4 linked regions of the Rhinolophus ferrumequinum genome follow. The protein of the gene in region 2 interacts with the protein of the main gene of each other region in a pairwise test. Links are inferred from orthologs where the notes say so. Each region holds a gene or a part of one and is shown on either strand. Other genes may lie near its edges. The genes, in order: CPNE2, SORBS3, TBC1 domain family member 22B and VARS2.

Evidence for each region.
Region 1: the proteins of SORBS3 (region 2) and CPNE2 interact in binary tests that used the Homo sapiens proteins (3 or more experiments, as listed by UniProt). The two-hybrid records come from large-scale screens. The link is inferred for Rhinolophus ferrumequinum from reciprocal best matches to the Homo sapiens genes SORBS3 and CPNE2.
Region 3: the proteins of SORBS3 (region 2) and TBC1 domain family member 22B interact in binary tests that used the Homo sapiens proteins (3 or more experiments, as listed by UniProt). The link is inferred for Rhinolophus ferrumequinum from reciprocal best matches to the Homo sapiens genes SORBS3 and TBC1D22B.
Region 4: the proteins of SORBS3 (region 2) and VARS2 interact in binary tests that used the Homo sapiens proteins (3 or more experiments, as listed by UniProt). The two-hybrid records come from large-scale screens. The link is inferred for Rhinolophus ferrumequinum from reciprocal best matches to the Homo sapiens genes SORBS3 and VARS2.

Annotation. Positions count from the first base shown.
Region 1 is NC_046298.1:9,807,165-9,814,808, reverse strand, and holds the start of CPNE2 (copine-2), read right to left. Parts: upstream 3,083-7,644; 5' UTR 2,882-3,082; intron 1-2,881.
Region 2 is NC_046301.1:43,963,221-43,971,644, forward strand, and holds the start of SORBS3 (vinexin), read right to left. Parts: upstream 3,147-8,424; 5' UTR 2,853-3,146; intron 507-2,852; 5' UTR 455-506; coding exon 353-454; intron 98-352; coding exon 1-97. UniProt on the Homo sapiens protein: Vinexin alpha isoform promotes up-regulation of actin stress fiber formation. Vinexin beta isoform plays a role in cell spreading and enhances the activation of JNK/SAPK in response to EGF stimulation by using its third SH3 domain.
Region 3 is NC_046286.1:7,330,977-7,338,864, reverse strand, and holds the start of TBC1 domain family member 22B, read right to left. Parts: upstream 3,168-7,888; 5' UTR 3,060-3,167; coding exon 3,004-3,059; intron 1-3,003. UniProt on the Homo sapiens protein: May act as a GTPase-activating protein for Rab family protein(s).
Region 4 is NC_046286.1:1,474,294-1,481,681, reverse strand, and holds the start of VARS2 (valine--tRNA ligase, mitochondrial), read right to left. Parts: upstream 3,437-7,388; 5' UTR 3,314-3,436; intron 3,211-3,313; exon of another isoform or gene 2,817-3,210; 5' UTR 2,790-2,816; coding exon 2,589-2,789; intron 2,454-2,588; coding exon 2,372-2,453; intron 2,259-2,371; coding exon 2,158-2,258; intron 1,877-2,157; coding exon 1,755-1,876; intron 1,665-1,754; coding exon 1,598-1,664; intron 1,504-1,597; coding exon 1,406-1,503; intron 693-1,405; coding exon 611-692; intron 444-610; coding exon 324-443; intron 1-323. Other genes in the region: GTF2H4 (general transcription factor IIH subunit 4), read right to left, coding at 3,648-3,820, 4,279-4,357, 4,518-4,565, 5,200-5,330, 6,440-6,572, 6,820-6,903, 7,096-7,164, 7,298-7,388. UniProt on the Homo sapiens protein: Catalyzes the attachment of valine to tRNA(Val) in a two-step reaction: valine is first activated by ATP to form Val-AMP and then transferred to the acceptor end of tRNA(Val).

The sequences.
Region 1 (7,644 bases), on a different chromosome or scaffold from region 2:
TGCAGGGCAAGAGTCGTGAACACGAGGGACACTGTCCTCACTGGCTCATGGAGCTGACACTCTTTGGGGAGGAGGACAGATAATCAGCTGACAGGTCAAGGAATAAATGGCTGTAGAGCTGTAATGTCTCGAGAAAAATTAAGTAAGGGGATTTGCTAGTGAGTGAGGAATTAGTGGCTCGTGTCATCTCAGACCCTGGAGGAAGAAGTATGGACAGGCCTAGTGCAAACATGCTCCAGGGATGAACAGCACAGTGCACTTGACGGAGTAGAGGCTGGGTGGCCCAGTGAGGGGAGGAGACACTGGGCTGGGAGCCAGGAGGCGCCTCGGACCCTGGCTTAGCCCTCAGGAATGGTGCGGCCTCAGGAAGCCTCCCCTCAGGATCCCGTATTGCCTTTTGGACAGTGCGGGTGGGATAAGATTGTTGTCTTCTGCCGCAGCTGCCTGCCAAGATCCTAGTGACCCAGCCTCCCAGCTCTCAAGGAGCCCACGATGTCCTGCAGGGGGCTGGGCAGGAGGGGAGGGAATCCCACCCCCTTTCTGAGGCCATATTCTCCAAAGCAGAGGGGCTGGACTCCTGAAGTGATTGCCCCTGACTCAGCAGCCCCTGTAAGGATGAGCGGAAGGGAGTGGGAGACCCCTATCTGGCAGACTAGACAATGGGGGGAGCCCCCCCCCCCCCCCCCCTCTCAGGAGGGGGCCTTACCTGGTAACAACTCTCCCTGCTCAGACAAAGGTGGGGGAATTCTTAAAAGAATACTGGTGTTTTCTGTCACTCCTTAGAGCCCTGGGAGGGCTCTAACGAGGGGAAATGGGAACACCCACTGAGCTACCGTTCCCCCTGGGGTTCTCCTCTCTGCTCAGGACCCTGCCCCTGGAAAAGCCCAGGAGTCGGACATTTGGATTCTGAGGTTCATCTCTCCACAGAGGAGGCAGAGAGGGAAGAGCAGGCTGGCCTGAGAAAAATTCCAGCAGGAAGCCTGAATGCAGTTACCCACATCAGGGGTACTAATCTTCTTCCCATGAACAATGACACTGATTTGTCGTGGGTACTGAGCACTTATCATGGACCAGTCACAGTGCTGGCACAGGAACCCTTTGTCAGCTAATTTAATTCTCACAACCACGTACCTTTAAAGAAATACACAAGTACCCTAAAAGATTATAGAGGTATAGAGTATTGTTCTCACTACTTTAGGACACAGAAACTGCGGTTCTCTCCTGACCCTCTTCTTAAGTCCTTGAGTTTTTCATTCTCATGGTCTCTGGGAGGGAGGTCTCTTGAAACATTACCAGAGACACCTTACTTCCAGCTCATGAAGTGCATCCCACTTTGCAGAACACGTGTCCCCCGGGTCCCCTGGTTCCAGCCTCCCAGCAGCTCTGTAAACTGGATGGTGTCATACTTTGCTTCATTTTATGGATGGAAAAACCCCAAAGCCCAAGAGGTGACAGGCACACAGACAGGAAGTGGCAGAGGGTCAGAAAAACCCATGTGTCCACATTCTTCGCCCCAGGTTCTTTCCATGAAGAAACTTGCCTGGGTGACCCCCTCCCATGCCAACCAGCTATGTCGCCTGCCTGCTTGGGGCAGTGCCAGCACTCACTGGGTCACTGGGCTTGGTGCCAGAGGGATTGCAATAAAACCTCTCCTTTCTGTTTGCTCCTAGCCTCCAGGTGCACAGGCCCATTTTACAGATGAGGACCACAGCTCAGAGGCAGGGTATCAGTGGGGAAGGCAGGGCCCGGCACTGCTGGCTGGGTGTTCAGACCAAGGTCTCCCAAAGCTCCCTATGGGGTGGGCCACATACAGGCTGCAGGCCCAAGGTTACAACTAGGCTCCTCCCCCCAATTACTGAAGCTGTGGGTGCCCCAACAAACAGAAAAAGCCCCCCCCCCTTGGTAACAGCCGACACCCCGAGGTGAGGAAAAACTAAGTGCAGACAAAACAAAGGGCCGCTCAGATGATTCTCCCGGATCTCTTGCCCTTGTCACTCCCCCAGCACATAACAGGGCTGGGGGGTCACAGGCAGCAAGATGAACCCCCAACTGGCTACCAGAGCCCCGGGTTCCACTACCACTGGTGACCCTGGGCAAATCACAGCCCCCTTTGAAGGAGTTCCTTCCCCAAAGGAGGGCTTGTGGAACTGGGAGGTGGGGAAGGGAGTCTGGAGGACGGTATGGGAAGAGAAGGGGAGAGTAAGACCCCTACATTTTCAGAGAAGCAGCGCTGCGAAGGAAGGGGGGGCAGGAAGAAAGAGCCTTTTCCTCTCTCTCTAAATGCCCCCCACCCCCAAACACACAGGTGCCGTGCCAGGCAGCTTTGGTGAAAAAAACTAGTTTGCAAACACACTCTGACTTCTGGGAAGCTGCCCAGCTCCACTCCCTCTCTCCGTCCCCGCTTCCGGGGCAGTTCCCTGAGGTGGGGGTTGGGGGTGGGTTTGGGGGTGGAGCTGGGTATGGGGACAAGGAGAGGGGCCCACGCCTGTCAGGAGCCAGCCCGACCTCAAGTCTTCAGCAGCTGCGATCGTGGCGGGGACTCCACCTTCCGGACGCCCGCAGGCTCCTCAGGAAGGTAGGAAGGTTCCTAAAACAGCTGGATTCAGATTCCCGAGGGCGCTACCTACCTCCCGCACCCTGCCCGCTACCTACCCTCCGCAGTCCGGGTGAAGCCCGAGCGCCCCCGAGTGGCGGGGTCCGAGCTGAGTCACCCAAACGCCGGAGTCTGGGTGTGCGCGGGTGGCGGGGGCTTGGGGTGCCACAGTCCCCCGAGGCGGAACCCAGCTTTCTTCCACCCCCGCAGAAGCCGAACCCCAAGGCCGAACTTGAGCATTCGCGCCAGGGCACCTCTCCCGCCCCGGCCTGCCCGGGCCCCACTCACCGCGGGTCCCGGGGGTGCCGCCGCCCTCACGGCGTGGCTGCCGCTACCCGCGCTCCGGGCCGCCGGGGCATTCCCGGGCTCTCCCCTGCTCGGCCGGGCCCGCGGGCGCGGGACGGGCTCAGGGCGCTGCCCGCGCGGCCATGGCCAGCTCGCGTGCGCTCCCAGCCGCTCAGGGTCCGGTCCTCCTCCCGGGCCAGGCGGCGGGCGGTGGCGGCGGCTCGGGCTCCTCCCCCCGGCCGAGGGGGGGCGCGGGTGTGGGGAGGGAAGTGAGGAGGCAAGGCCGCGCTTCCTGGAGGGGCGAGCGCTCCTAACGGGCGGGGCGGGGGCGCTGTCCCGCCCGCTGCCCGCGGCTCCTAGCCCGCGGCTGGCGCGCCCTGGCACTCCCGGCTTTCAGCGCCTGGGGCGCCCGAATGTTCGAGACCTAAGTCCTAGGGTCCGAACGTTCGAGGCCAGATTCCAAGAGTCCGATGGTGCCAGGCTGGGACTCCTCCGATCGGAACGCCGCTGGTTCGCACCCTCCCCAGGCTGGCTTCGCCGGAGCCGCAGGCACCTCCGAGTTCCTAGCACGGTGCGCTCAGGGCCACCGACGCGGGAACCGTGGGGTAGGCTCCGCCAGGGCCTCTGGGGCCCCAGGACGCCGCCCGCGGCCTCGACTCCAAGGGGTGACCGGCTCAGCGCTGCGCCCTCGGGGATGCTCTACAGGGCTTGGTTCTGGGCCGTACTGGGCAACACCAGGACGGCAGTGTTCTCTCTCGCTCTCTTTTTTTTTTACCGATAGTGCAAGAGCTCGGTATTTTCTTGTCACCAGCGGCTGGGAAAATTACACATATTTCACTGACAAAGACGATAAGATAAAGACAATTTGAACAGTGCTTGGGGCTAGTCAGCGAGAGGGCAAGTAGATGCGTCCGTAAGGCCTTGGAGCTGAAACTCCTCCTTTTGCAAAGGTCTTTCCCTAGGAGAGGAACCAATTGTTAAGAAATGCGTCTATCGCTGGGCGCTCTTACTGCAGGCCACTCAAAGGTATTTATGTGCCCCCTCCCCCAGCAAATTCAGTGCTTCAGACAACCTAGCCTCATTTAACCAGATTGTGGGGGACGGAGTTGTCCGGAAGATCTCAAGGCCATATCCACAGCCTTTGGCCCTGGGGGACTCTGAGAGTTAAGGCTCAGCGCTTGGGTTGTGGGACTTCCATTTCAGGCAGGTGAGGGTTAACTGGGAGATTCACACTGCAGCCGGCAACCTCCCTCCACATCTGAGTCACAGGCATTTTGCAGCCTTAGAGGGGTGGCCACCAAAAAACCCCAGGGCTCTGAGCTTTGTTCTCTGCCCTAGTGTCTACCATCCGTCCTTCCTTTCTCCAAACTCTGTATCTTTCTTCCACCCAAAGCCCTCAAAGTCCGCAGCCTGGCTGTGGGGCAAGCCAATCAATCTATGGCGTTTTTTTTAGACCCAGCTGCAGCCCCACTTCCTTCAGGAAGTGGTGCTTGATTGATGTGTGTGTGTGTGTGTGTGTGTGTGTGTGTGTGTGTGTTGGGGGGTGCAGAATCCCTCTCCTCAATTTGCTCCAGAGCAGGAGTCCCTCCCCTCAACTTGCTCACCTCCCCCTGGGGCAAGACCATGACACAGGCAATGATATTACAGGATAAAAAATGCAAAGGTTGGAGGCAGGGTGGCACCAAGACCAACTCAGCCAGTGTGGTCAGTGAGGCTTCTTCTAGGAGACCTGAGGATGAGGTATTTGGACCTGCCCAGGGGAATAAGATCGCTGGCCAAGGGGACAGAATACAAAGGCCAGGGTTCACTCATAGGTATCTACCCAAGGGAAATAGAAACGTGTCCACACAAAAACTTGTGCAGGAATGTTCATTGCAGCATGATTCAGGATAGCCCAAAAGTGAAAACAACCCGAATGTTCCTCAATAAATGAATGGATAAACAAAATGTAGTCTATCCATACAATGGCATATTATTCAGCCATAGAAAGGTCTGCTGTCCATACAATATAGATGAACTTTTAAGACATCACGCTAAGTGAAAGAAGCCAGTCACAAAAGACCATGTATTGTGTGATTCCATTTATGTAAAATGTCCCGACTAGCCAAATCCATAGAGATCGAAAGCAGATTAGTGGTTGCTTGGAGCTGGAGGAGAGAATGGGGAGTGATTGCCGTCGGTACGGGGTTTCTTTGGAGAGGGGGGTGATTAAAAATATTCTACAATTATTGTAGTGATGGTTGTACAAAACTGTAGATATTCTCAAAACCACTGACTTGTATACTTTAAAGGGGAGAACGTTATAGTATGTGAATTACACCTCAATAAAACTGTCCTAAAACAGAGTCAGGGATCAGGAGAGCCCAGAGGTCACAGTCGATAAGGTCAAGGGTTCCATCAGTTGATTCTACACTCTGTCCTCAACCCACACAAGACGTAAGGCTGCTACTGCAAAATGTCTTTCCTCACCCTGGGAGAGACCTCTCTGCACAAGCGGGAGGCCTGCATTTCCCTAAATAGGCCTATATAAGAGAGAGAGAGAGAGAGAGAGAGAGAGAGAGAGAGAGAGAGAGAGAGAAGCGCCTGCCATCTGGGGGTTTATTTGCACAGTCCAGGCTGTCTGGACAAACAGATCAGAATAACCAGGGCTGCCTATACACTTCAGTGTGCTTGTAAATTTAAGACACTTGAAGGAGCACCTTCTGTGTACCAGGCCCTGGGTGATCCAGTTATAGAACACACATCACCCCAAACCTATTATTTCTCATAGTTCTGGGGGCCAGCTGGGCTCAGCTAGGGCAGTTCTTGCTCAGGATTTCTCAAACAGTTGCATCAGACCCTGACAGAGGCTGGAGTTATCTAGAAGACTTTCTCACACATACGTCTGGAATCGGTGCCGGCTGTCAGCTGGGACCTCAGCTGGAACACCTACCCATGACCGTTCCATGTGGCCTGGGCATCCATGTAGCATGGCAGCTGGGTTCCCAGAGTGAGCATCCCAGGGCATGAGGTGGAAGCATTATATTTTAAAGGACCTCACTTTGCAAGTCACATAATGTCACTTCTGCTGTAGTCTCCACTCCAGAGACCCCGCCTCTCTGTGAGAAGAGTGTTAACTGTCACATTGTAGAAAGAGCAGGTGGGATGGGAGATACTGTGGTGGCCATTTTGGAAAACACCATCTGCCAGGGGGGGTTGATATGGAGATATCCCCTTCAGGACTTCACTGTTAGAGGTGGGTGTGGCTGACTCTAGTATCAAACCTCAGACATAGAGTCTGGGCCCCGTTTGACTCCTAGCCACTCCAATTACTGCCTGGGTGAAATCACTCATTCCTCTGGGCCTCAGTTTCCTCCTCTGTAAGATGGAAGGATAGATTTCATACCTGCTTCATGGATGATTGTGCGAATTCAGTGAGACCCGAATGTGGCTAGCATGGCACCAGGCATGGCTAGACACCAGGGCTAGTGTGTTGTTATTGCCATTTTTAAGTTCTAAGGTTTCACTTACTCCAACAGAAGGATGCCCCCTTCCAGGGTCAGGATGCCCAGGCCCCACCCTCAACCCCTGCATCAGCCCCAACCTTGTACTGGAGATTGGTGCGGGAGGGTGAGGACGAAGGCCCTGGCCCAGGAGATGGACACTTCTAACCTAGGTGACTCAACCGGGGACCCCAGTTGGCCTTTGTTCTCTAGGGAAGCCTCTTTTGTCGCCTTCTCCTCAGGGCAAAGGTTGATTTCTGGGCAGCCAGGCAGGACAGTGGCTTGTGTGGGATGAACAAAAAAGTGTGGCTTCCAAAGGCCAAAGGTGAAGGACGACACCAGCTCTGGGGCCTGAGAGACACATGGGGTGCTTCATGAGGTGTCTGGCTGGGTGGGAGGAAGACCAGCTGTCCCCGGAAGATCACCAGCCCAACCCAAACCAGCCAACGTAAGGTCTTTTCCAGGGAGCTCCAGCTGTGTCCGAAGGGCGTGTCCAGCTCCAGCTGGGGCCACCACCCTCAGGCCTGGCTGTGGCCATGCAGGGGTAGGGCTGGGGCAGAAGCAGGGCCTGGAAGGGCACACAGCCCTTTCATCTTTCCCAGGGCTCTACTCTCTGAGGAATGCATAGATCCACTGAGTTAAATCCCCAGCTGGGACCACCCCAACATCCTCCTTCCCTTCTTGCTCCAGGGTCGGAATCTGAGCTCCACTAAATACTCACTGTGTGACCTTGGGCAAGTCTTGTTCCTCACTGGGCTGCAGTTTTCTCATTTGTGAAATGGGGGACGATTGTTACTGGGATTGTGGCTGTGGGTCTAGAGGAGGTCATGGATGGTGGAGCTCCAAAACTATAACCATGCAAGGCAGGCGACAGCGGAGTCACAACCCTCCCTGAGGGAGTGGACATGAACCATAAGGTCGTCTCTGTAGCTGGAGAAAGTAGGTCCTTGTGCCTTGCCTAATTTTGCTCATCCCCTCACTGTACAGATGAGGAAACTGGGGCTACAACTGTGGGATTATGAGTCTCAAAATTTGACAGTTGATAAGAGAGTAGGTCCTAAGACTTCTCATCTCAAGGTAAAACACATTCTTTCCCCCTTTCTTGTATCTATATGAGACAGTGGCTGTTAACTAAATTTCCTGGGGTAATCATTTTGCAGTATATGTAAGTCAAATCATTATGCCACACACCTTAAACTTATAGAGTGCTTGCTATATGTCAATTATATCTAAGTAAAGCTGCAAAACAATGGGGGGAAAAGTCACAAAGACCCAGGTTCGATT
Region 2 (8,424 bases):
TCCTTGGTGAGAAGTACCCATTGCACACGGTCCTGGGAGCGGGGTCATGGAACTGGAAATTAAGGGTGTTGGAGCCACCATTCCGGATCACCGGCACCTGTGGGGAGGGGCCAGGAGCAGCAGCTCAGGCCCAGAAGGTTCTGCAGTAGGGAGGGAGGGATGGCTGCCAGGGCACAGTCATACCCCATGCTGAGGGCTTTGGAGCCAGCTTGACCCTTTTGCAGGAAGCCAGCGAGAGCTATCTTCCAACCCCTTCCCGCCCTCCCGTCCTTTCATCTTTGTGCTCCACACCTGTCCTGCAAGGTCCCCACCAACTAGGGGCCCACAGTCACCCTCTCTCTTGTTCACTCACCCGTGTCCCCCGGGAGGATGACCCTACGTGGGCTCGGAGGTGGCCAGGGATGAAGTCATCCAGGCTGAGCCCAGCTGGGAGGCTGCAGGGTGGGGCCTGCATGCTTGGGTCAAGGTCGGAGGACTCCGGGTGTGCCAGCTCCTCTGCAGGTCCTCTGTGGGGAAACAGGGAGGAAGGGAAAGCCTGGCTGGGCCTGGGTTGCCTGTACCCTCAGGGTGGTGGAGGAGGGGACAACTGTGGGAGAGGGTCAGGGCCAGCTGAGTGGGAGCTCCAGGACCCAGGAAACAGGCCACTGCGGGCACCCGCCTGCAGGCTGCCAGTGCCGGCTCCCAGAGGTACAATGGGCTGCTTGTTAGGCCCTGGGCAGGAGCTCCGGGTGGGAGTGGGGGAGGGGAGACCGGGCGAGGAGGAGGGGAGGCTGGCCAGGAGCAGACCTGCTGGACAAAGCCTCAGGCGGGCCTGCTGGCCAGCCCCTCTGGGGCTCTCACTGCACAGTCAGCCCGCTCCCCCATAGGGAAGGCAGAGGGAACTGGGGCAGCTGGCAGAGGAGGCCTGGGCACTCGGGACTTTGTTTCACTTCCCTCTGCCTCCTGCCCGTCCCTGTGTGAACATCCCGTCACCAGCAGGCACAGGGGTTCCTCAGGCCCAGCAAGAGGCCCTGGGCAACAGCACGGCTGCCCACCCGCTGCCCAGAAGGTCCAAGGATCCAGGGAGAGGGAGAGCGTGGGGGCGTTTCCAGGCAGCAGGAACCACTCCTTCTGAGCTCAGAGGAGTATCAGCTCCCTTTTTGGGCCTCTTTGGCTCAAACTGATGCCTCAGAGGGCTCAAGGTGCCAGTGAGGGGTGGGGGCAGAGAGCGAAGCAGTGGTTAAGAGCAATGGATTCGTGTGTGGAGGGGTGGTGCTGACACACACACACACCCCACTTTTTCCTACACCTCCAGGCTGTTTTTTCAACAGAGGGTCTTCCTGAAAGCAGCAAATCTGACTGATCAGCTGGGTTCTTTTGCCCCATGCAAGTCAGGCAGCCAGGAGATGGAGGCAGTGGGGCTGCCAACCAGGGCTTTGCCTCCCAGAGAGCGGTGGTAAGAAGCTGGTTGCTCCTCTCCTCTGCCGTTGCACTGAGCCAGAAGCAGAGTCAACCTTCGCCGCCTTCTGGGGCTCTACCAATTCTGGCATTTTTGTTTCCTTAGGCTTGTGTGTGCCTGTGGGGTCTGGGGGCTCACGGGAATGCAGCAAGGGCCTTGTGAAGTGCCATGTGTGTGTGTTGGAATGTAAGGGCAGTGCCGTGAATGGGACTTGAGGGGGTACCACGGTGTGGGGGCATGTGAATATCAAGGGGATTGTGGGTCCAGAGGAGTGTCAGCTATCAGTGTGGGGAGGGTGCAATCATACAAGCAGCACAAGAGTTATAGAGACCAGAGGGGATGCAGGTACAATAGAGGCTGTGGTTACCCAGCCCCTGAGCACGCTGGAGGGTATAGACAAGGCCATGGCAATTCCCTGTCTCTGGTCTGAGTGGGGATTCCTTCTGACCCTTGAAAGGCCTATTGGGGACACAGCTTTCCTGTGCCCACCCCTGGCTCTGGGGGGAGTAGAAGGCTGAGGCTAGAGGAGGGACAGTGCACCAGCTGGATTGAATTAGGACTCCTACCAAAAGCAAAACATGCAGACACACCCCAGTTCCTGAGGCTCTCTCTCCCCTTGCAGGGGAAACCGAGGCAGAGGAGAGTGGGAGGCCAGAGGGTCTAGGCCGGGAGCAGGCTGGTTCCTAGCACCACGCCCCTCCCTGCCCAGCTGACTGCTTAAGGCCAAGTTTCGAGGTCAGCACCAGTCTTTTCTACCCGTCAGCTGACCCAGACTCCTTCCCTGCCTCTATCTGTCCCACCCTGCTGTGCTCAGTGAGAACAGCCCACTAGCAGTAAGGAGAGGGCAGGAGGTTCCCTTACACCACTTGAGTTTTGGGGGTGGCTGATCCTTGGGGGCCCAGTCTGGCCCTCCCCAAGCTGCTCCTTGTGGCACACCCCCAAGAGACATGCAAGAGGGTGGTGGGGAAGGGCGGGCTACATTTTTCTCCCTGCAGCCCCGCCAGAGGAAATTGGTCCTGCACCTGGCAGAGGGCAGAGGGTGCCAGGAAATCTCGGGGGTCCTCCCAGAATTCACTCTGGCTGTCCTTCACCCCAGCAGCCAACTCTAAAAGGCTGGAAGAGGTAAAGTGGCTCTGCTGTGGTCAGGGACTCCTTCCCACCTGCAAGTACTGCCCTGGCTTTGGGGGCTCAGCCCTAGGTGTCTTCTCGGGTATTTTCCAGCTATGAGTCCACGTGGACAGGACAGGTTTTCTCCAATTTCACTTTTTTGTTTTGAGGGAGACTTCTCACCTCTTTCCACCCCCGAGTTTGGGGCGAGGACCCCAGGGGGCGGGCTCTGTGCCTTCCCTTCAGGCAGGTGCCTCCCTGACTGCGCCCCCGCCTCCTCTCCGCCCCCTCTTCTCCAGACACCTACCTTCCACGGCAAGCAGGTGGAGGGGACTGAGGACGCCCGGGAGGGCAGGAGCATCTCGGCCGGGCTCCTGCCTGGTGAGGCCGCGGCGGGCCCTCGGGGAGGGAGGGCAGGGAGCGGTCCGGGCTGTGCCGTCCACCCTCGTGACCGGGTCAGGACGGTCTCCGCGAGGCCGGGCGCCCGAGGAGGAAGAGGGATGGACGGGGCCGAGCGCGCGCAGGGAGGAAGGACTAGAGAGGCGGGCGGGCGGCGGTCAGCCTGCCTCCAATCTGGACTGTGAGCCGGGGGCTGGGGGGGCGGGGGCGAAGGGGCCTGCGGGGCGGGGGCTCGGGTCCGCAGCCCCAGCGAGCGAGTGGCCTCCGTCGGGGCGCGCCGCGAGGACGCTGTGGCCCCGGCCGAGGGGGCCGGGCCGGCCGCGCGGAGGCGCCGGGAGGGGCCGCCAAGGTCCCTGGGGAGCACGCTCTGGTTTCCCAGCTGCCTCCCCGGCCCCCACCGCCCGGCTGGCGTCGGGGCGGGCGCGGGGGGCGGGGAACGCCACTCAGAGTTTCCAGCGACATTTCCAGCGGGTGGGAAGGGAGCCGCTGCACGGCGGAGCCAGGACCGAGGGCACGAAGGATTAAAGAGCCGGGTCCAGCCAGCCACTGATACGGAGCCGGCAGCCCGGAGACGGGCCGCTCTGCAGACGGGCTGGTGCCGAGATAGGGCGCCCCAAAAGCGGAGGGGCCTAGCGGACCAAGGGAGGGGCCCGCCACCTCCCCCCGCACTTGGGAGAGAGATTTGGGGCCTGCGTAAGCGCGCGTCCGGGCGTGTGCAAACACACACACGCGCGCGCGGGCGCTGCCAAACCGGGCGATGCTCACACACGTGCAAGCCCCGCGGAGGACAGCCCCGGGAGGAAACCGGCCGAATGGAGCGGTCCCCCGGGCGTGGCGCGCCCCTGAAGAGGATGAGGGCGGCTCCCTTTGGCGGGGATGGGGTGACGGGGTCTTGGTGTTCCCACACACCGCATTTGTTTTGATCTCGCTGCTTTTCCGCTGTTCCCGCTGCTCTGACACCGGTCCCAGGAGCCCGCGCCCATTGGCTACCGACCCCTCTGGCCACCCATCCCTTCCCTCTCACCCCCAGGCCTCTGTGTACGCACAGAGCCTGTGATAGGAAGTGAGGGTGCTCAATGAATGTTCCCTGCTGATGGAAAGACTCGGGAGGGGAGTACTTTTAGTCCCTGGCTCGGTTGGGGAACGCCAAGCCCCCAAACAAACCAATAGCAAAGAGGTATTAGGCAATACCAGATCTATTCTGGGAGTGTTCACTTATAAATTACGAACATCTGAAAACATTTATTGCATAGGTACTGGGTGTAAGATTGGTGCCCTGAGGCCACCATGCACTTTAGAGTGTTTTCCAAGTACATTATTCAACTGAAAAGTTGAGAAGGAAGGGAATGGAGAAAAAAACTCCCTACCATCACTGATGCTATTAGCTTTATCTTTTCTCAATTCAGTGAAAAGGGCGACCTGGGTTGTGGTGAACCAGCGTGAAATAATATCACCAGTGAACAGCACAAAGAGGGGACGGACGTTTGGCTGAAGAGAAGCTGGAGAGAGAGAGAGGATGCTGGCTGGCCTCCACTGTCTGCAGGGCTGCATGTGGAAACAGGCCGGCTGAGCTACCACAAGTGGGACCATTGGGTGCACACGTGGAAGCAGATGGGAGGTTTCCAAGGAAGAGCTTTTAAATGATTACGGGGTTCTGAGTCTGGCCGTTGTGGGGCATCTTTGTAAAGGCACTTAGTGTACTGAGCAGGGAGCTCAATGAGATCCCCTCTAAGGCCCCTTCCAGGAATCTGTGATTCTCCCAGAACACTGTAGGGATGGGGAAGGGACGGTAGCTGCAGCACGGAGGGCTGGTGGCAGGGCATTTTCCTTCCTCCAAAGCTTGGGCACTTACTTCCCCACCCCTTGTCACCATCCTCTTCCCTGCCACAGAGACAAAAGATGTGCCCATTACCCTTGTCACCAGTTTTGTTCCCCACCTGTCACAGTCCTCACGACTAAGAAGGGACACATCGCGTTCGTGTTCTTCCTTGTTCTCCAAAGATGGTGACGCTGAAGTTCTTCCAACTCCAGGAATTCTGGTCATGCCCACTCTCGCCAGCAGCAAGCTTCTCTTATTCTCTAGGGCTCTGACCTGGACTCCAAGATAAATATTTAATGTAGAGGGTGCAGCTGAGCTGACCAAGGTCCCTACTTCCTGTTTCTCAAAGGAAAGTGGCAACCATGGGCAAGGAGCGGGGGACTGGTTACCAGTGTCATCTCTATGGGAATAGGGAATCCAGCAAACAGCTTTGCAGGAGCCACAGTAGGCCCCACTGGAGACCTGAGCTTTTCTCCAGAGCTGTTTTGAACCTCTGCCTGTCTACTGAGGTCTGAGCTCTGCTGGGCTCGTCACCTCTCAGCTCAGAGCCTGCTTTGCCCTGGCACCGGTGGGACTCGTTCTCCTTCCCAGAGTCTTAGGCTATGGGCTTGGCCTGAGGAGAGGCTATAACAGGGTCCCTCCACCATGTTCCCTTGGTGTCCCCCCAGCCTGATAGTATAGAGGATGAGAGATTGTATAGAGGTGGGAGCAGAGAGCATAAGGCCCCTTGACGGACATCTCCCTTTCTGCCCATAGTTAGGGAGCAGAGTCCCTCCTCTTTGAAAAGTGGGAGATTAAAGGGGAAACGTAGCAAAATCCAGAGATTTAGCCAAGAACCAGGTGTCTGATTTCTCAACTCCTTCCTCCAGCCTCAGCTCTACTTGCTGCTGGCCCAGACCGCTGGCTGGTGTGGTCAGGGAGAGCCTGTGGCTAGGGAAGGAGGTCCTAGGTGAGTGTTGTTGTTAACAACAGAGCAGACTCCTTTCATCCCGATGCCCTATCTTCCTGACTCCCTTATCTTCTAACAGGGCCCTCCCTCCCTGTGACTTCCCCATCTCTGGCACTGCCTTTTGCCAGGGGCCACCTCTGCCTTCTCAGAGCCACCTGAGCCATAGTAAACACAGTTACATAACTGCTCTATTTTCCTGGTTATCTGATCCTGGTCGGCAGTACGCCCCACCCCCACCTCCTTTTGATGTGAGGACTACACCCCAAGGCACCCACGTCAACAGAGAGGTCTGTCCACAACCACCACCCTAAGGCGGGATTAGCCAAGAGACTACCAATAGATGTGGCTCTTCCCCAGGACGGGGAGGAGAGGGTGGCTGTTCCTACAGGAATGCAGGTCACTCTGAAAACCAACCTCTGTCCCCCAGAGGAATGGTGAATGGAAATAGCACTTAAGTAGCTTTATATTGTGAGCAGGGTGAACAGAGAATTCAGTTTTATTTCTCAAGTGGGAAAAAGGAAGCAAGGGATCCCAGAAGACATACAGCTGAACTCTCCCGTCTTGGGGAGTGTCTTTATCTGTCGTGGGGAGCCTCACATTCCAATGTCACTCTCAGATCTACCTTGAGCAGCCAAGGGGTACCCTGGCTCTGTGCCTCAGCGCCCCCACACTAGACAAAGGAGGGGCATATGCTATTCCTTCTCTCCTCCTGCACAGGGATAGACTCTGTATACGCTATAGGTAGGCTTTGAGCAGGTTTTTATTTGTGCTCCCAGAGATTGTTCTCTTCCTGCCAGGGGAACTGAGTGAGCGGAGCAGAATGGATTAGCAAAGAAAGCACTGTCCCTTTAGAGGAGTTGAGACTTCTCTAGAGAGAAAGACCACAGTGAGCCGACAGAGAGCAAGTGAAACAATAGTACAAATCTGGACCATGTTTCATCCCCTGGGTTTCATCCTCCTGGGGTTTTCTCTTGATTCGAGCTCCTGCTAATGCCAAATTCTTCTGATGGCCGTCTATGCCAAAACCTCATGGGGACAGAAGCAACAGAAGAGGAACACAAAAGATCCACTAGGAGACTTAGAAGACCCTCCTAAGCTGACAACAGCATGACCTGGGACATCTGGAAACCAAGATTTTCGGTATAGTCACTGTAAAAGTAAGGGATCTCTGTGATGAAAAAATACCCAGTCCAGGTGGAGTAGGGGCCGGGCAGCCAGGCTGAGGGAGCGGATCCCCGTGGGAAGAGAGAATGCGGCTTGCGGGCCTGCCTCTCACAAACGTTTCCACACATACACGTGACGTAACTAGGATCTATGGGGTCGGGCCTCTCAGCGTCAATCACATGGAAATCCCAAAGGTGTGAGAGAACGTGGCCTTTTGTCCAAGTATCTAGTCTACCTTCAAGGAAGCCTTTTCACTAACGTCACAGCCACTCTTCGCTGGCTCTCTCCCTCCCTGTAGAGATGAGCAAACTAGCACAAGGCGCAGCTGGGGTGTCTTTGAGAAGAACTGAGCTGGATGGACCTCTTTTAGTTCTCAGGAAAGAAAGAGAGAGCAAGTGCTTGTCAGCTCTTTAGAAAGCAGATTTTTATAAGGCAAGGATAAATAAGCGATGACCTCAGAGGGAAAACTCGGCCAAGTTAACTCAGCCACGAAAGGCACACAGACCAGGAGCTGGAAAACTAGGTCTGCATCACCCTTCTTCCCTAGTGCAGATAACTGAGCCGAGGACAACGAGAGCGGGGAGTCGTGGGCCAGTGGACACCGCGAGGTCGTGCTCTGGCCTCCGAACAAAGAATAACCTTGTCTTCCCACCTCCTTGAATTCTATGATGAGCCTGCTGATCGCAGCAACATGAAAGACACCGCTACCTCATGTACCACTCAGTTATTAATCCACTGCAGCCAAATGAAACAGACTTTCTTTCTAAAGCCTACAAGTCATGATACAAAAACAAAAAGACCACGCAATGACATATAGCAGCCAAGAAAGTGGGGATTAAATGTAGGTGGAGTGAGAGGTAAATGTGAATTGGCACTTGAGTTCCTAATTTCCAGGCTTAAAACAAAACTGTCTTTCCACAACGCTGGAAATAAAGAGTAAATATTACCTCATTTTACTGAAGGTTTAACTGAGGTGTAAGGACACAGTTAAGTTGGGACGCTATTTATTGGGAAAGGTCCTAAAATGTACACTCAGCTTATTTGAAATTAGAAATCTGGACTCGCTTTCCAGCCTATAAATTGGCCCTTGATGTCACTGCCCTCAGAGTCAAACTGCCTTACTCAGGCCCTGGATTTAGACTTTCTACCTCTGCTGCCATAACCGATGGAATTCCCTCACTGACACATTTGCCGCTCCAAGGGCCCTGGGCACTTGCCCAGTGGAAGTTATTTTTCCTTGTGCATCCATGGCACCTCACGATTTTTCTACTTTTCAGAGGAAATCAAGAGGCTGGCCTGACACTTCCTTTTCTTAAGAGTCCAACTCCACATTCAACGCCTCTCTGGCTTCTTCAGCTTCTTCTAAGATGGACTCCATCCATGTCTATTATTAGGATCGCATGCAGAGTTATTAAATTACTGATAGTTATTTTTATCTTTTGTGAGGATGACTTTCTTCCTTTCCTTCCAGTAGCGGCCTCTGCCGGAAAAGTCACAGGAGGAGCTGGCACTTAAGTGTGAGTTAGTGGCGGTGGGCAGGGTGCCAGG
Region 3 (7,888 bases), on a different chromosome or scaffold from region 2:
TTTAATTCCACCAAGTTACCGTATGACCCAGCCATTCCACTCCTACAGATACTCAAAAGAATGGAAAACATACATCCACACAAAAACCTTCACATGAATTTCATAGCAGTATTCATAATAGCCAAAAAGTGGAAACAATGTAAATGTCCATCAACTAACGAATGGATAAACAAAATGAGGTACAACCATATATTATTTAGCCATAATAAGGAATAAAATAGTGATACGAATGAGCCTTGAAAACATCATGTTTAATAAAAGAATCCAGAAAAGGCCTCATATCACAGTACTCCATTTATAAGAAATGTCCAGAAGGTAAATCCATAGAAACAGGAAGATTAGTGGTTTCCAGGGGCTGAGGATGGTGGGGAGGGATGAAGGGTGACTACCAATGGATATGAGGTTTCTTTTTGGGGTGACAAAAATGTACTGAAATTAGTGGAGATGGTTGTACAAAACATCATACTCTAGATGCATACACTAAACACCACTGAATAGTGGGTGAATTTTTATGGTATGTGAATTACATCTCAATAAAGCGGTTGTTTTTTAAAAAAACTGTTTAATTCATTGTGAACTTAGGCTATTTTACTAAGTAAAATTCCTATTTGTTTGTCATTAAGGTTGCTGGATAACGATCAAAGCAACTGAAAGTAACCTGAGATTGCTTTGAATTTTTACCTTTCAGTTCGCAAAGAAAAGTAAACTAGTGTCACTTTTAGGTTGCAAGGGGCCTAAACACAGTTGTCTATGTCTTTCCCCACCCAGGAGAAAGTGTTTCTTCACTAAAACAGAAAGAGTACAAGTGCAAAAATTATATTCTTGAGAAAATGCCCTAACGTTTTCCTTAAATCAAAGCACTTACGATCTAAAACTAGTTGTCCCCATAACCAGGGGATCCTGGAGGCTTCCCTGCTAAAAACACATAACTAAACAATACTTCCTCTCAACAAGCAAGGTATAAAAACTACTGTCAATCATGGCAACACTTTGATGTCTCAAGATAAACAATGAACATAAATACCCAGCACCAGGGTAAGGATCTGAGTAAAGGTTTATTTATTTGCTTTAAGAATAATAGTAGTATTAAGAATAATTAGTAGTAAGAATAATAGTAGTATTAAGAATAATAGTAGTAAGAATAATTAGTAAGAATATACTAATTACTAGTATATAATGAGCAACCATAATGTACTAAATAAATACTGTCCTTGGTTCTTTACAAATAGGATGTTAAATTAAGTCCTCACAGTAACCCTGAGGAAAGTATTTTTATCCTCATTTCATAGATCAGGAAATTGAAGCCTCGAGAAATTGAGCAAACCATTTGTCCTTAATCACACAGGTAAAAGGGTCCAAATAATAACCCAAGTCTTTCTGAACTGAAATGATCTCTCCTCTATCCCTCTATATTCCTCTTCAAAATGAAAAAGGAAGCCAGAAACTTGAGAAAACTGAAAAGACTCCTCTTTCTATCTTGCAAAAATAGTGCCTTGAAAAAAGGTGACTGCTCCTATAGTCCAAAATAGGAAACACACAAAACGAAAGATTGTTAATAACAACTAGCACTCAGCAGGCACAAAAGACCGTGCCATGTCCCACATCTCATCTATTGCTTCCTGATTTAACAGTTCTCCCATTGATTCTGATTATAACCTTAGGATGTCAACATTTAATGATCTCACTATGGAAAACCCCAGAGAACAACAGTTAGTGAGACTGGAGAGCTCACTAGACCAGGAAGGAAAAGGAATCAGTTGGCAGGAAGTGGTGCTTATCTAAAAACATAGAAGTCATTAGCACTGACATTAACACTGTAATTCCACAGCACTTTCATCTGAAGCTATCTCTGCATTCCCTTGCATTATTTTAATACTGTGTCACTAGTAGCTGAGTCCCACCATTCTCCATATGTCTGATAGGATCCTAAATAAAATAAGTCTGCTATATAGCCACCATTGACCCTTTCTCTCTTGCTATTGGAAAAAAAAAAAAAAAAGGTCACAAGTTCAAAGGATTATCCCAGAAAGAAAAGACCCCAATCAATGAGGAAAGGTAGCACGTGGGGGAACCCACATGAATTTCATCACCAAGCAGACTATGGCTGTCAGAAATCTTAAATTCACGACGGAACCTTCACTCCTCCTTATACATCTCAGGACTCTGCCCAAAACAAATTGAAACTGTAAACCAACAGCAGATGGAAGGATGTACAATTGTTAAGGGTCTCAACATACATCAAAAAGGAAAAAAAAAGTAGCTTAGAAGGTCTGCTCTCCAACCCATCAACTGAACAACGAAAAAATTTAGTAGAACGATACAACGCAGGAGGGTAAAGGGTTACTTGGGGTTGAATAAATCCTTAGAAAAGATTAAAGAAATAACCTCAATTCTTGGGTCACCCTGTAATAATTCCTAATGGGAAAAGGCCAACTGAAGATGAAGTAAGGTCAGGCCTGAGACTTTTCCTCATTTCTCCTGTCCCCCTGCAGAGGGTCCCAAGCTCCCAGCAGAACCTTGCTGGAATCCAGGAAAAAGGTTCCTACGTGCAGAGCTGGAGGAGCAGGGGAAGGGGCCATCCTTGTCCAAACAACCACCTGTGTGTGGGGGAGACAACCCCCCCCCCAAGAGAGAGTTCTCTTTAACGTGAGAAGCAGTTCCAGGGCTGACCCTCCTAATCCAGGACGGACACAGGCTACTCATCCCACTCCAGGGTCTTTTACGCCCGGACTCCGGCCACCGTCTGGCTGAGGGCAGCCCCTCCAGAGCCCTCCACCCCCAGACCCGGGGCTGCTCCCACAACCAGCCGTCCCCAAACCCTGCTGCCTGCGCCTCATCCTGACAGCTTCCCTGCCGCCACCAGGCAGCCCCAGCTCCCCCAGCCCACGTTGCCCAAACCAGCCCGCCGGGGTCGGCGGAGCTCCAGGCCCGCGAGATTTAGGGCTTCGGATCCGGAAGGGTTTGGTCCAATCCCCTCTTCCTCCTCTCAGCTCCTGGGCTCACCTCCCCGGCAGCTTGGCGCTCCTCTTCCAAAACTGCTTGCTGTTCTCGGCAGCCATTGCTCTGGCCCGGGGAAGGCCTTGTAGGCGGGCCAGGGGGTACTCGGCGAGATGCCCCCAGGACCCCACAATCGGAGGGCCAACCCAGGCCACTTCCCCCGCTGCCGGTCACCCGCTCCTAGGTGCTGGGACCGCCATCTTGGATATGGGCACCTCCCCACCCAGCGCCGCTGCCATTGGTGGACTGCCAGGCCGTGGTCGGACGAACCAATCAGGAGCCGGAATCCTGCAAGCCGCTGAAGCCGAACGGTGACGTCAGGGGCTGGGCGCACAGGTGGACCGGGAAGGCGGAGCTCGGACCCGCAGGGAGGCGGGACTGAAGGTTCCTTAACCTGGAAGAAGCAGGTGAAGGACCTATGGGAAGAGGAAAGGGTACAGTTTTCTTTGGAGGGAATGAGGTTCTGGAGTCTAATATTTTTGGGGAAGAGAAAGCATATGTATTTATTTATATACGTAAATCTTGACCTAAAAATGAGGTCCCATGTGTTATTTGCAGCCCATTTTAAAATCTCCCACCCAGCTCAGTGACACTGGTTATTACCCTCCGTTTCCCTTTCGGTTCGGACCCCGATATATATATATATATTTTAATCTGTGAAGGAAGATCAATACGGTTGGATAGCGTATGGTTGCTGACTGTTCAACACGTGAGTAACGGTTGGTTCATGAGAATCTTCTTCTCCTCTGTTCATTGAACACTATTGAAGGACCTGTGCTGTGGGTGAAGTTCAAATGATCTAATCCAGGGGTGTCCAAACTTTTTTCAACGGTTTTCACCAAGGGCCATATGCAGTAAAATACACACACAGCCGGGCCACTCACTCGAGGTGAAGTACGTATTGCCTCACCTGGTTTATTTAAGTAAACTAAATATATTTTTGGAATTTGTTGCGGGCCAATTAACAATGGATCCTGGGCCACACTTGGCCCGTGGGCCGCAGTTTGGACACCCCTGAATCCCTGTTTCATCTAATAACTGTCACTTTCTGACCAGAACCCAGATGCTGACAAAGTATTCATCCAATTCAGACCAAGTAATGTTTCTTGCGAGGACGCATGAATATATCTCCATGACGTGAATCACAAAGAGTAAGGATATAAACCCAAACAGACTTAATTTCTCTTATTAATCTATTATCAGTTTTTCACCCTTGACTTTATTTTCAATCTAGTTTTAAATCCAGAATGAGATTTAATATTAGCATTTTGAATCCTTTGAATGTCTCGTCAGTGTTTTTTGCTCTTTTTCAGTTTCTGTGGCTGTACACCAGTGATGAGGGGCGTGGGCAGAAAGCACACACCAGTCAGAATAGTTTCCATCCCAACAAAGGACTGTTGAGGTGGCTTGTTTACTGCTACCACATGTCTTTTCACATATTGGAGAATACTTAAAGGATTCCTTGTCTAAAGGACATTTTTTATATGCCTTCCAGTGGCCTCTTTCTACATAGATATTACCCCCATTTTGAAGCTTCTTTTGCCCCCTAATTTCACAATCATGGGATTGTGAAAAGAGCTGTTTTTACTTTCTCTGGACCTTTTGTGCTTTTATAGATTTTCATCTTATCTTGTCTCACCTTTATGAGCATTTAATCCATCAAACAAAAGCACCTCTTATCTGTTTATTCTCATCTTTTAAACATTTTAGCTGCCTTTCTTTGGCTGTTTTTCTTTTTTTTTTCCTTAGGATACAGTGACCAGCACTGCACACTGAGCTCCAAGAGGGGTTTCCTGAGGTTTTGCTGAAGCTGATGTTTTGTCTTTATTCTGGACAGCCAGAACTTTTGCTGCCATTTTGGACTTTATAAAAGCTGATGTCTTGAAGAAATGATCTACAGTGACTTCTAGATCCTTTCTTCAGTGGATACTGGCAATTCAAAGTCATTATCTTAAAGGTATCATCAGAGTTATTTCTCCCTATAGGAGCTGTCCTACCCTTGTCCATGTGGCAAGTCACCTGTCTCTTTCCAGCCTATTCACAGAGCTTCAGAAATGTTCCAGAAGAGCTCCCTATTAACTTGCTATTTCACATGTGGCAAGCAGAGTATAGTTTGTGTACTTAGAAATGTCTCAAAGTGTTCCTTTTTTCTTCATTGTTTATTAAATGTTAAATAACCCTGATTCCAGGGGATACTGTTAACACCGTTCTACCCAAAGGAGCCCTGTTATCCCTATTCTTGCTTTTCTACATCTAAGCCAGTTTCCCATCCAAGACTTTAAAAATTCACTCCAGTTGTCTGGTGATAACTTATTAAATAGTCTTTATCAGGGAAGTTGAGATGGTTGGGACGTTTCTCACCACCACCACCACCATGACCACCCAAATCTAAACCAACCAACATCCTTACAGCAGCCTCCTATTAAGCCTCCCGCTTCTACTCCTGCCCTCTTAGAGTGTATTCCCTCCACAGCAGCCGGAGAGAGCCTTTTAAAATGTCAGTCAGACATCACTCCTCTGCTCAATATCTTGAAATGGCTCCATCACACTTGACATAACACCTAAGCTCCTTAAAGACCTTGCATGATTTGGTCCCACTCTCTTCCTTGCTTAATCTGCTCCAACCACACTTATTGGCGTTTTTGATGTTCCTTGAACAATCCAAGCATGTTCCTATCTCAAGGCCTTTGCATTAGCAATTTCCTCTGTTTGGAATTCACTTTTCCCAAGTATCTAGATGACTTGCTCCTTCATTTCATTCAGGTACATTCCCACATGTCTTCAATTTAGGGAGGCCTTCCCTGACCATCATCTTATTTAAGATTTATTTAGCAGGCTCCATCACTCTAGTTTTCTTTAAAGTACTATCACTGCCTACTATGTTACTTACTTATTTTGTTGTCCATCTCCATCCTCCAGAATGTACACTTCACTAAGGCAGGGATTTTGTCTGTTTTGTTCTGTGCTATAACCCCAGCATCTAGAAGAGTGCTTGGCACGTGGTAGGTGGTTAACTGAGAGATTAAAGACTCTAAACTATTGTTGTCTTTTGGTTCTATGTTGTTCGTACACATTTTTTGTTGGAAAAGATGATAGAAAACATTTTCTAAACCTCATTAGGATGCTTCCACTTTACCAAAGATTCCGTATGTTTGCCTGTACTCTTGGTTGAAGAACAGTCTTCCTTTCTTGGGAAAGGTTGTCCTCTTCAAACCCTTTTGCAGCTTCAAAGGAATGAACTGATACCTAGAATGATACGGGAAGGAAGCTGCCCATCTGTCCAAGAGATCAGCTGCATCAACCCTGTCCATCAAAGGGGAGGTAACTGTGGCAGCCAGATTAATTACCCTTACACCAAATTTTGCCCCATTACAGGTATATATCATTATTTTGAGGTTCCCAAGGGATCCTTAGGGCACTTTTGATGGAGGCTATAGTGGCAGACACTCGCTGGTCCACTAGACCAGTGCTTCTCATGCTTTAATGTACATGTGAACCACCTGGAGATCATGTGAAAAGCCTAGATGCTGATTCAGTAGGTCTGAGGTGGGGCCTACGGTGATGCGTTTCTCACCAGCTCCCAGGTGACACTGAAGCTGCTAATCTGAGGGCCTCACCTTGTAGATCTTCTGTTACCAGGACAGTGTGGCCTGCGATCCTTGAATTTATCTCAAGGTTTGATTATCTTGAAACTTTAAGTAGAAGGCTCTCAATGTGGTCTGCCTGCAAGTTTTTACTTTTCATTCCTTAACTTGATAGTCATTCAAAGGAGAGTAAAACAACGTAGATTAGGGCCAAGTAGAGTTAAGGGAATGAGCTATGCATGGGTTGAATGTGGACTCAAAAAAGGTGGGTATATCCCAATCCTTAGAGAAGGTTCTATGGAAGAGATAACCCTGAGACATGTAAGAGAGAGAGGAGAAGAGAGAGGAGAGGGGAGGGGAAGAGAGGGGAGGAGAGGGGAGAGGAGAGAGGAGAGGAAGAACAATAGAGAGGAAATTCCAGAGCAGTATTTCCATGGGGAACATAGAAATTGAGAAAAAAAAGCCTTTGGACTTCATTACCAACAGAACACGGGCAGACTTTAACCTCAGCCAGGGAGTGGAGTGGACCCTGTCATGAGAGGAAGGGTTAAGAAGTTAGAGCAAGAAGCAGCCCTCACAATGCACTGTCGAATGTTGGACCACCATAGGGGTGGTAAGGCCAAGCTGGGATGTAAGAGCAAGAGAGCTTTTTTGGTACCTAAGCAACCACTAGAAAGAGCCAAATGAGATGGATCGCTTGTGTGATAGAAGGCAAAGGGATAAGCATAAAGACTGAAGAAGCAAACGGTTATTAGAGTTGAGAGAGGAAGGAGAGAGTTGTTAGAGTTGGGGGGAGGGAAGATTGTGAATTTCTTTCCTAAGAATTTACTTTAAGAAAATAAGTCACGGGGGGCGAAGCTCTGCGTGCAAAGATGTTCCCTGCTTTGTAAGCAATAAAAATAAGGGAGAATGAAAAGAACATAAAGGTGTAAACATGAGGAGGGTGTTACACAAGTTATGCTGTATGGTTTGTAAACCTAAACCATGCCATGCCATTAAAATGTGCAAATTCGAATGCTACCATAGCACAACAAAAAAGCTTATGAACTGATGTACAAGGGTGGGGGAGCAGAATGTGCAATGTCTTTGCCTGATTTCAATAAAAATATATAGCTTTTATCAAAGACTACAAGAAAACAGGAAAAAACTAAGCAAATTTTTTAGGTGGTTGAATTATACATCTTTTTATTTCTGGAATTTCTTTTTAATGTTACCATTTTTAAAATTATTATGAAATATATGTCATACAATAAACCAGGGGCTGGCAAACTTTTTCTATAAAGAGACAGATTGTAAATATTTTTGAC
Region 4 (7,388 bases), on a different chromosome or scaffold from region 2:
TGCCCTCGCCTAATTCTTGTGCAGTCAGTTACAGTAAATATTCACTGAGCACTTAAACCACATACAGGTGTCGAGCTGAGCACCTTCCACGAGTTTTCATTTCATTCACAGCATCCCAGGATGCAGGCATTCCCATCAGCCCTAATTTACAGACTAGGGAAACTGAGGCTTACAGAGGCTAACAGCCACGGGAACACACAGCTGGTAGGTGGCAGGGCCTGGACCTACATCCAGGCAGGCTGGCTCCAGACCCTGAGCTTTCACCCGCCGGAGAGTCTCTCACAAACCCAGTCTTGCAACCGGCTTGTCTTTCTCTGCCTCACCTCAATATCCGAGATGGCGGATCTTAAAGCACATGACCAGTTGACGAGCTGCCGGCCCCGGTACAATAACCCTGCCTTGTGGAGTCGCACGAATGCTTCGGTCACAGCCACTGCGGAGCCCTAGAATGGCCTGTGTGTCCACATCCAACAGTCCCTTCTCAGCCCCTCACCCCCCTGGGGACCCGGGCACTCCCATCCTGCCACCCCAGCACACACAGCAACCCGCCTCCCTGCACAGATCTCTAACACCTCCCCAACACCCACAGAACCAGCCGTGGAACTCTCACAGCATCCATAGTGAAACGCTCTCGGTCCCAGTCCAGGGAGGCCCCTAGGGCTCGCAGCTGCTCACAGATCTCTCCACCTTTCCTGTGCCGAGAGACTTTTGTCAGCAAACGTGTCGTGCACCAACAATGTACCAGGCCAGTGACACCCCAGCAATGCTGGGGCTGGAGTGAGTATGGCACTGATCTAGCCTCCAGAAGCCAATGGAGACAGACTCATGAACCCAGTATGGAACCTTCTATGACTAAAAGAAGTATAAAGGGGGTGGCCAGCTACTATGAGCTGCACCCTCCACAGTTACATTGAAAACAACTATTTGACTTGGACCTGATGGGTCCTGGAAAAACACACTTAAAAAACAAAAGCATAAAGTTCACAGTAACAGAGGAAGGGGCAGCCGATTCATGGGAAATCTACAGAAACTGTACAGAGAAGATGGCATGTAGTAACACACCTAAATGAGGGTAATTTCAAGTAGATGGAAGGTGGGAAGGGGTGAGTTAGAGAGAATGGGAAAATGAGATAAGTGATAAGTGGGGGTGGGAGGGAAGTGTGTGTGTGTGTGTGTGTGTGTGTCTGCACATACACACATATATAGACACACATCCTCATGTATCACATACACACACACACAGCTTGGCGACCCCACCAAATGCTAAGAGGCTCCAGAGCTTAAGTCTCTGGAAGTTAGAGAAATTAGGGCTGGATGGGAAGAGTGACTACGAGTTAGAAGCGTGACTAGGAAACAAGGACCCAAACCTGCGATCTCAGCCCCTTCATATGTCCGTCATACTCACTCCTCCTTCCACTTCCACACCTCCCTGAGGAAATCTTCCCGGCTCAGATCATGTCTCCTCACTCCTCGTTCCTTCCACAGTTGTTTCTCCACCACAGCCTACAGTAAGATTAGGGGGCAAATAAACAAAGAATCAGGTCGCTTTGGAGGAAGAAAACTCACCCAAGAAAAGGACAAGTGGCAAAAGACATACTTGGGTAGCAATTCCTGCATGATCTGAGCCCGGGACCCACAGCACCTGATCTCCACGCATCCGGTGCCTGTGACAGAAATGCCCTCACACGAATCCGACCTTACATGTTTACCCTCCCTCCTTCCCCTCAAGAACCCAGGCAGCCGCATCCCCTCACCAGCGCACGAGAGCATCCTGGATGGCCACGGTCAGTGCGTGCCCGATATGCAGGGAGCCAGTGACGTTAGGAGGGGGGATACACATGGAAAAGGTCTCCCCTGTGGCCTGGGGCAGCCTGGTCTAGAAGGAAGGAGCACAGTCAAAGGGCAAGAGAAGACTGGATGTTACCTGGAGGAATAGTACCCTCTGGTGTCCCCACAGCAGTTCTGCAGGGCAGAACTGTCCAGCAAATAACAGGGAAAGGGAAACCTGCCAAGAGAATGTTCTGGAGAGCCCAGGGGCAGGAGACAAGCTCTCCAATGTGGCTGTGAGCTCCAGACTCAGGCTCAGTTGCACCCACCAATCTCATGGGCCAATCTGTCCTGGGGACTGTTCAGTACCCCTCCCTGCCAGGCACTAACCTGATATTCCGGTTTAAAGAAGCCCTCTCGTACCCACCAAGGGTACCAGGCAGCCTCAACATACTGGGGGCTGTATGCAGGAGGCAGTGGCCCGGAGACATCTGTGGAGGCAGAGCAGAGCTCCACTAATTCAACTTTGTTCCCCGACTGCATTTCAGCAGACCAAATGGGAAACGAAAATGTGAGCGAAAAGGCCTTCAAGTTTCCTAGTTACCTTTCTTTTCACCAAGTTCCGTGGGGATTTCATACAACACTATTTCTTTAGGAGTCCAGGCCTTACTGGATTCTGCAGGTGACTACGGGGAGGAGACACAAGGAGGAATGCAGTTCCCAGTATACCCCAGGCATCTGGGATCCAGCCAGTCTCTCCTCCAGCCCTTCTCCATCCCCCCACCAAGTTTCTCAGACCCAAGGGCAAGTTGTGCTCTAACCTTGCTCTTCCAGGCTAATCCATCCTCCAGCGCCTCCTGCTTCTCCCGCAGGCGCTTCTGTTTGGCTTCGCGGTTCCTCCGGGAGATGGGGGAACCATGGGGCTCTGACTGTGTAGAGAGTGGATGGGACTTGGGGAGGCCCCGTGAGGACCTCAGCCCCCAGAGTGAGTGTCGGAAGGAGGCCGGAGGCAAATGAGGCATCAGGAGTGCTTGGAACGGGGCCAAGATCTGTTCCCGACAGACAAAGCACTTTAGGATACGGGGGCGTGGGAGGGTCACATCCCCTGAAGTCACACCCTATTCCTTACTCTCTGCCGCCTACTAGATCTGGTCTGTTATTTTAAGTATCTAGCTCTTCCCACACAACCTTTCCTCCATGTGGACTAGAGTGCGTGGTGTCCACAGTAACAGGATCCTGGAGCCGCAAGAAACAGGGCTCTTCTGGGGAAGACTTAATTTCTGGCCCTCAACCTATGAATGTGCGACGTGGGAGTGACCGCCGGCACACAGGAGTGTAAAGGACTCGGTATTGGGGAGGTGACCGACAGCGCACCCGAGAGCCGGCAAGAGTCCCGCCAGTCACCGCGATCTCGGCCTGCCCAGACGCCGCCCGCGCTGCCCCCAGACCCGCGCGGCCCGGCCTTCCCACGCGTCCCACCGTGGGGGCCCAGGCTCGCCAGCGCCTCCCACCCCGCACCCCGGAGGCCGCCCTGGCGCGCGCTCACCGGGCGAGCCCTCCGCTACCCCAGGGCGCCCAGCGGCGGCGGCAGCGGCTGCAGCACCGGATGGGACTCCAGCAACCGACCCCGGAACCCGACCGCGCGGCGCCGGGAGGCAGGGCCCCGGCCCGGCGCATGCGCGAGGGCTGCTCGGCCCTACCCCCTTCCCGTGCCAGCGCGTCGGCAGCGGGAAGCTGCAGCTCGGTGGGGAGGCGTCCGGGGCTGCGAGGCTCATTTTCACAACTTTATTAAACAATTAGAGTCCCCAGGTGTGAGTTAAAAAACCCTAAGTTCCGGAGCCGCGCCCGCCTCCCGCCCCGCCCGGTCCTAGTCCGCGCTCTCAGGAGCTGTGCTTCTGTCGCTTCCAGAAACGCTTGACATCACTGTGCCCAGCAGGCGTCACCACCATGAGCCGCTTGGCCGAGTTCTCGAACACCAGCACGCCCAGCTCCCGCGCATGGGCCAACAGCAGCTCAAAGTCCACTTGCGACAGGAACTGGTTATACAGGACACCTGGGGTCCGCAGGAAGGGAGAGGTGGGGAGAGAGAAGGCCAGAACGTGAGGCGCTGAGCCTTTCTGTGGCAGCCTCAGGGCAGTGGGCTGGCCTTGTCACCCACCACCATTTAAAAACGAATCCTCTATGCTTGTCTCTTCCAGGGCTCATCTGAACACTAGTGTGATCCAACCATATTCAGGAAGGCAATAAAATACAGTAAGAAAACCCACTGCTCACCAAACCTAGAGAAATTACTGTGAATTATCCCTCCCAATTTCCCTCTTCTTGCTAAATCCAAATTGCAGTGATTTGAGACATTTTATTTACTACCACCGACTCACCCCAAAATAAAAAGTATCTTGCCAGCTTTGCTCTCCCAGCTCATACAGCAAACAAAAAGTAAATAAAATGATCACGACTGAATTGTCCTTCCTCTGGCCAACGACCAACAACCGACCATCAGAAGCCACTCACCCTCAGTGAAGCGGAGTCTGTCCCTTTCCAGCTCCCACAGCCGGATCTGGTCCGTGATAGTGGGCGGCAGCACAGGTGTCTGCAGGGGCAAGGCATGGCTGTAAGATCCTGGAAGACTGCACGAACAACCGCAGCCCTCCACGCATTCCCCAGATTTGGTTGTTCCTTTCTCTTTTCCATCACTTCATCACCAGGTGCCAGGGGCTGTCAGCCTCCCACAGCTTGGTACCTGTTTGTACCTGTTTAAGCATCACTGGGTGGGCCCTTGTCCTTAGGAAATGGATGATCTAGAAAACAGACAAGAATGCAATCAAAGACTCGAATAAGAGGGCAGGAAAGCCACTTTGGCCGTCACCCGATATCACGGGAGCATCCACTTACTGTTTAAAAACTCATAGGTACATGACTATTGTCAGCCCATTCCTTACTCAGCTGTTGTCCCAAGTTACTGTTCCCACTGGTCATGTCTGCTATTCCTTCTCTGGCACATCTGCCCTTTGCGTAGTCTCTTTTGTTTCTCTTTAAAATAGCAGCACTTATTGTGTGGCAGGCTCTGAGCTAAATGTTTTACTGCTATTCTCACACTGAATCCTCCCAACAACCCGGTGAGATGAAAATTCATTGTTTCCCTTTTCCAGCTGAAGAAACTACAGCTGAGAGAAATGAAGCAAGTAGGCTCTTTATGCATCTAGGAAGTGGCGGTGCCAAGACACAAATCCAGAGCTACACCTCCTCCCTCCATGTTCTTCCCCCCTCGCGTCTGCCTGTTCCCACACCTTGACACCTCCTGTGCCTTGTCTGCTCAGCCATCTCCCCACACCTTAATGTCAGACCTGGTGCTAGCCTTCCATACGCTGACCCCTGTGCCCCACAGCCCAGTGCAGCCTGCCTTCCTGCCACCCCCTTCCCCAGTGAGAATACCTGCTGGGCTGTAATGCCACTGGCGATGGCCTGCTGCACACTCTCCCGGGTCACCTGCGCCACCACCATGTTGGGGAAGCGATAGAGCATCTCCGAGAAGAGGGCGATGAGGGCGATCTGCAACTCTGACTCTGGCCCAGGGACAGGAAGAGGGGACGAGGGGGCTGACCCCATGCCCAGGGACAGGAAGAGGGGACGAGGGGGCTGACCCCATGCCCAGGGACAGGAAGAGGGGACGAGGGGGCTGACCCCATGCCCAGGGACAGGAAGAGGGGACGAGGGGGCTGACCCAGGCCCAGGGACAGGAAGAGGGGACGAGGGGGCTGACCCAGGCCCAGGGACAGGAAGAGGGGACGAGGGGGCTGACCCAGGCCCAGGGACAGGAAGAGGGGACGAGGGGGCTGACCCAGGCCCAGGGACAGGAAGAGGGGACGAGGGGACTGACCCAGGCCCAGGGACAGGAAGAGGGGACGAGGGGGCTGACCCAGGCCCAGGGACAGGAAGAGGGGACGAGGGGGCTGACCCCAGGCCCAGGGACAGGAAGAGGGGACGAGGGGGCTGACCCCAGGCCCAGGGACAGGAAGAGGGGACGAGGGGGCTGACCCAGGCCCAGGGACAGGAAGAGGGGACGAGGGGGCTGACCCCAGGCCCAGGGACAGGAAGAGGGGACGAGGAGGCTGACCCCAGGCCCAGGGACAGGAAGAGGGGACGAGGGGGCTGACCCCAGGCCCAGGGACAGGAAGAGGGGACGAGGGGGCTGACCCCAGGCCCAGGGACAGGAAGAGGGGACGAGGGGGCTGACCCCAGGCCCAGGGACAGGAAGAGGGGACGAGGGGGCTGACCCCAGGCCCAGGGACAGGAAGAGGGGACGAGGGGGCTGACCCAGGCCCAGGGACAGGAAGAGGGGACGAGGGGGCTGACCCCAGGCCCAGGGACAGGAAGAGGGGACGAGGGGGCTGACCCCATGCCCAGGGACAGGAAGAGGGGACGAGGAGACTGACCCCATGCCCAGGGACAGGAAGAGGAGACGAGGGGGCTGACCCCATACCCAGACTCCCTGGATCCCTTCCTTCAAGTGTGATGAGACATGTCAGAAAAGATAAAGTACCCAGTAATCTGAACAAAAACTGGCATTCCCTCCCGCTCCCTTCCCCTGGTGCTAGCCTTCCATAACCTGCTCGCAACCTGTTCTCACAACCCACCCCCAACCTGCTCTCCCAGGGGCCCTCTGCTGCCTCACCCGTGTAGGCATACAGTCGGTAATTGGTTTCCACGACAATGAAGCCTGGCTGATGCGCAGTGCCCCCAGCCCCAGAAACACCTGACGAGAGATTGATGGCCAGGCGGGTGGGGTAGTAACGCCGAGATTTCCTCTGAAAGGATAGGAGAGAAAGGCAGAGGGCTCCCTCTCAAGTGTCACCGCCCGACATCATCCTTCCTAAGACATCAGATCCCTCCCAGTGCAGAACCTCAACTCCCCACTTCTCTCCCCCAAGGGACCCAGGTATTCAGTCCTGGCAACCGCTTCCCGCTGCCTCCTGAAACCCCACACCTTTCTAAAGGCCAAGGCCCATACCACCCTGCCTCTTCCCTAGAAGCCATGTATTTGGGTGCTCATACCTTCCTCTGGAAAACAAGCCCAAACTCACGAAGATGTTGCAGGAAGTTCAACAAAGAATCACTCATCCCTTCCACAGAATAATCCTGGGGAAGAGAGGTAGCAGCTGGGGTCCAAACACATCCCATGTCCCTCTCCCAAACCACAAGCTCGTTCCGTCTTCCCACCTCTGGCTGTTCCTTCTTACTTCACTCTATTGCCCCATAGCCCCATTGCCCTCCCCATCTCGCTCCCCTTCGGCCCACCCACCCGACCCCCCAGCTCCAGCCCCTGCTTACCTTGCCTAGAGTAGAGAAGCTGAGCTGGAAGAGGAAGGAGAGGATCTCCACTAGGTCCATGCCCCGACTCTAGGGAGGAATGGGCACAGACAAGGGGACGGGATGGGAGGGAGAAAATCAGGGAGCAGTCTGTAGGCAGTAATCTCTCGGTGTGTCCTGAGAAGAGCAGAGCACACCCACAAGCAGACGCTGCACTCCTCACCTGGGCTGTCTGTAGATACTGCAACATAAAGTACCAGAGCTGGGCAGGGGTGTCCAGCAGCAGGAACTGGAAGCCAGCAGAGGTAATGCAG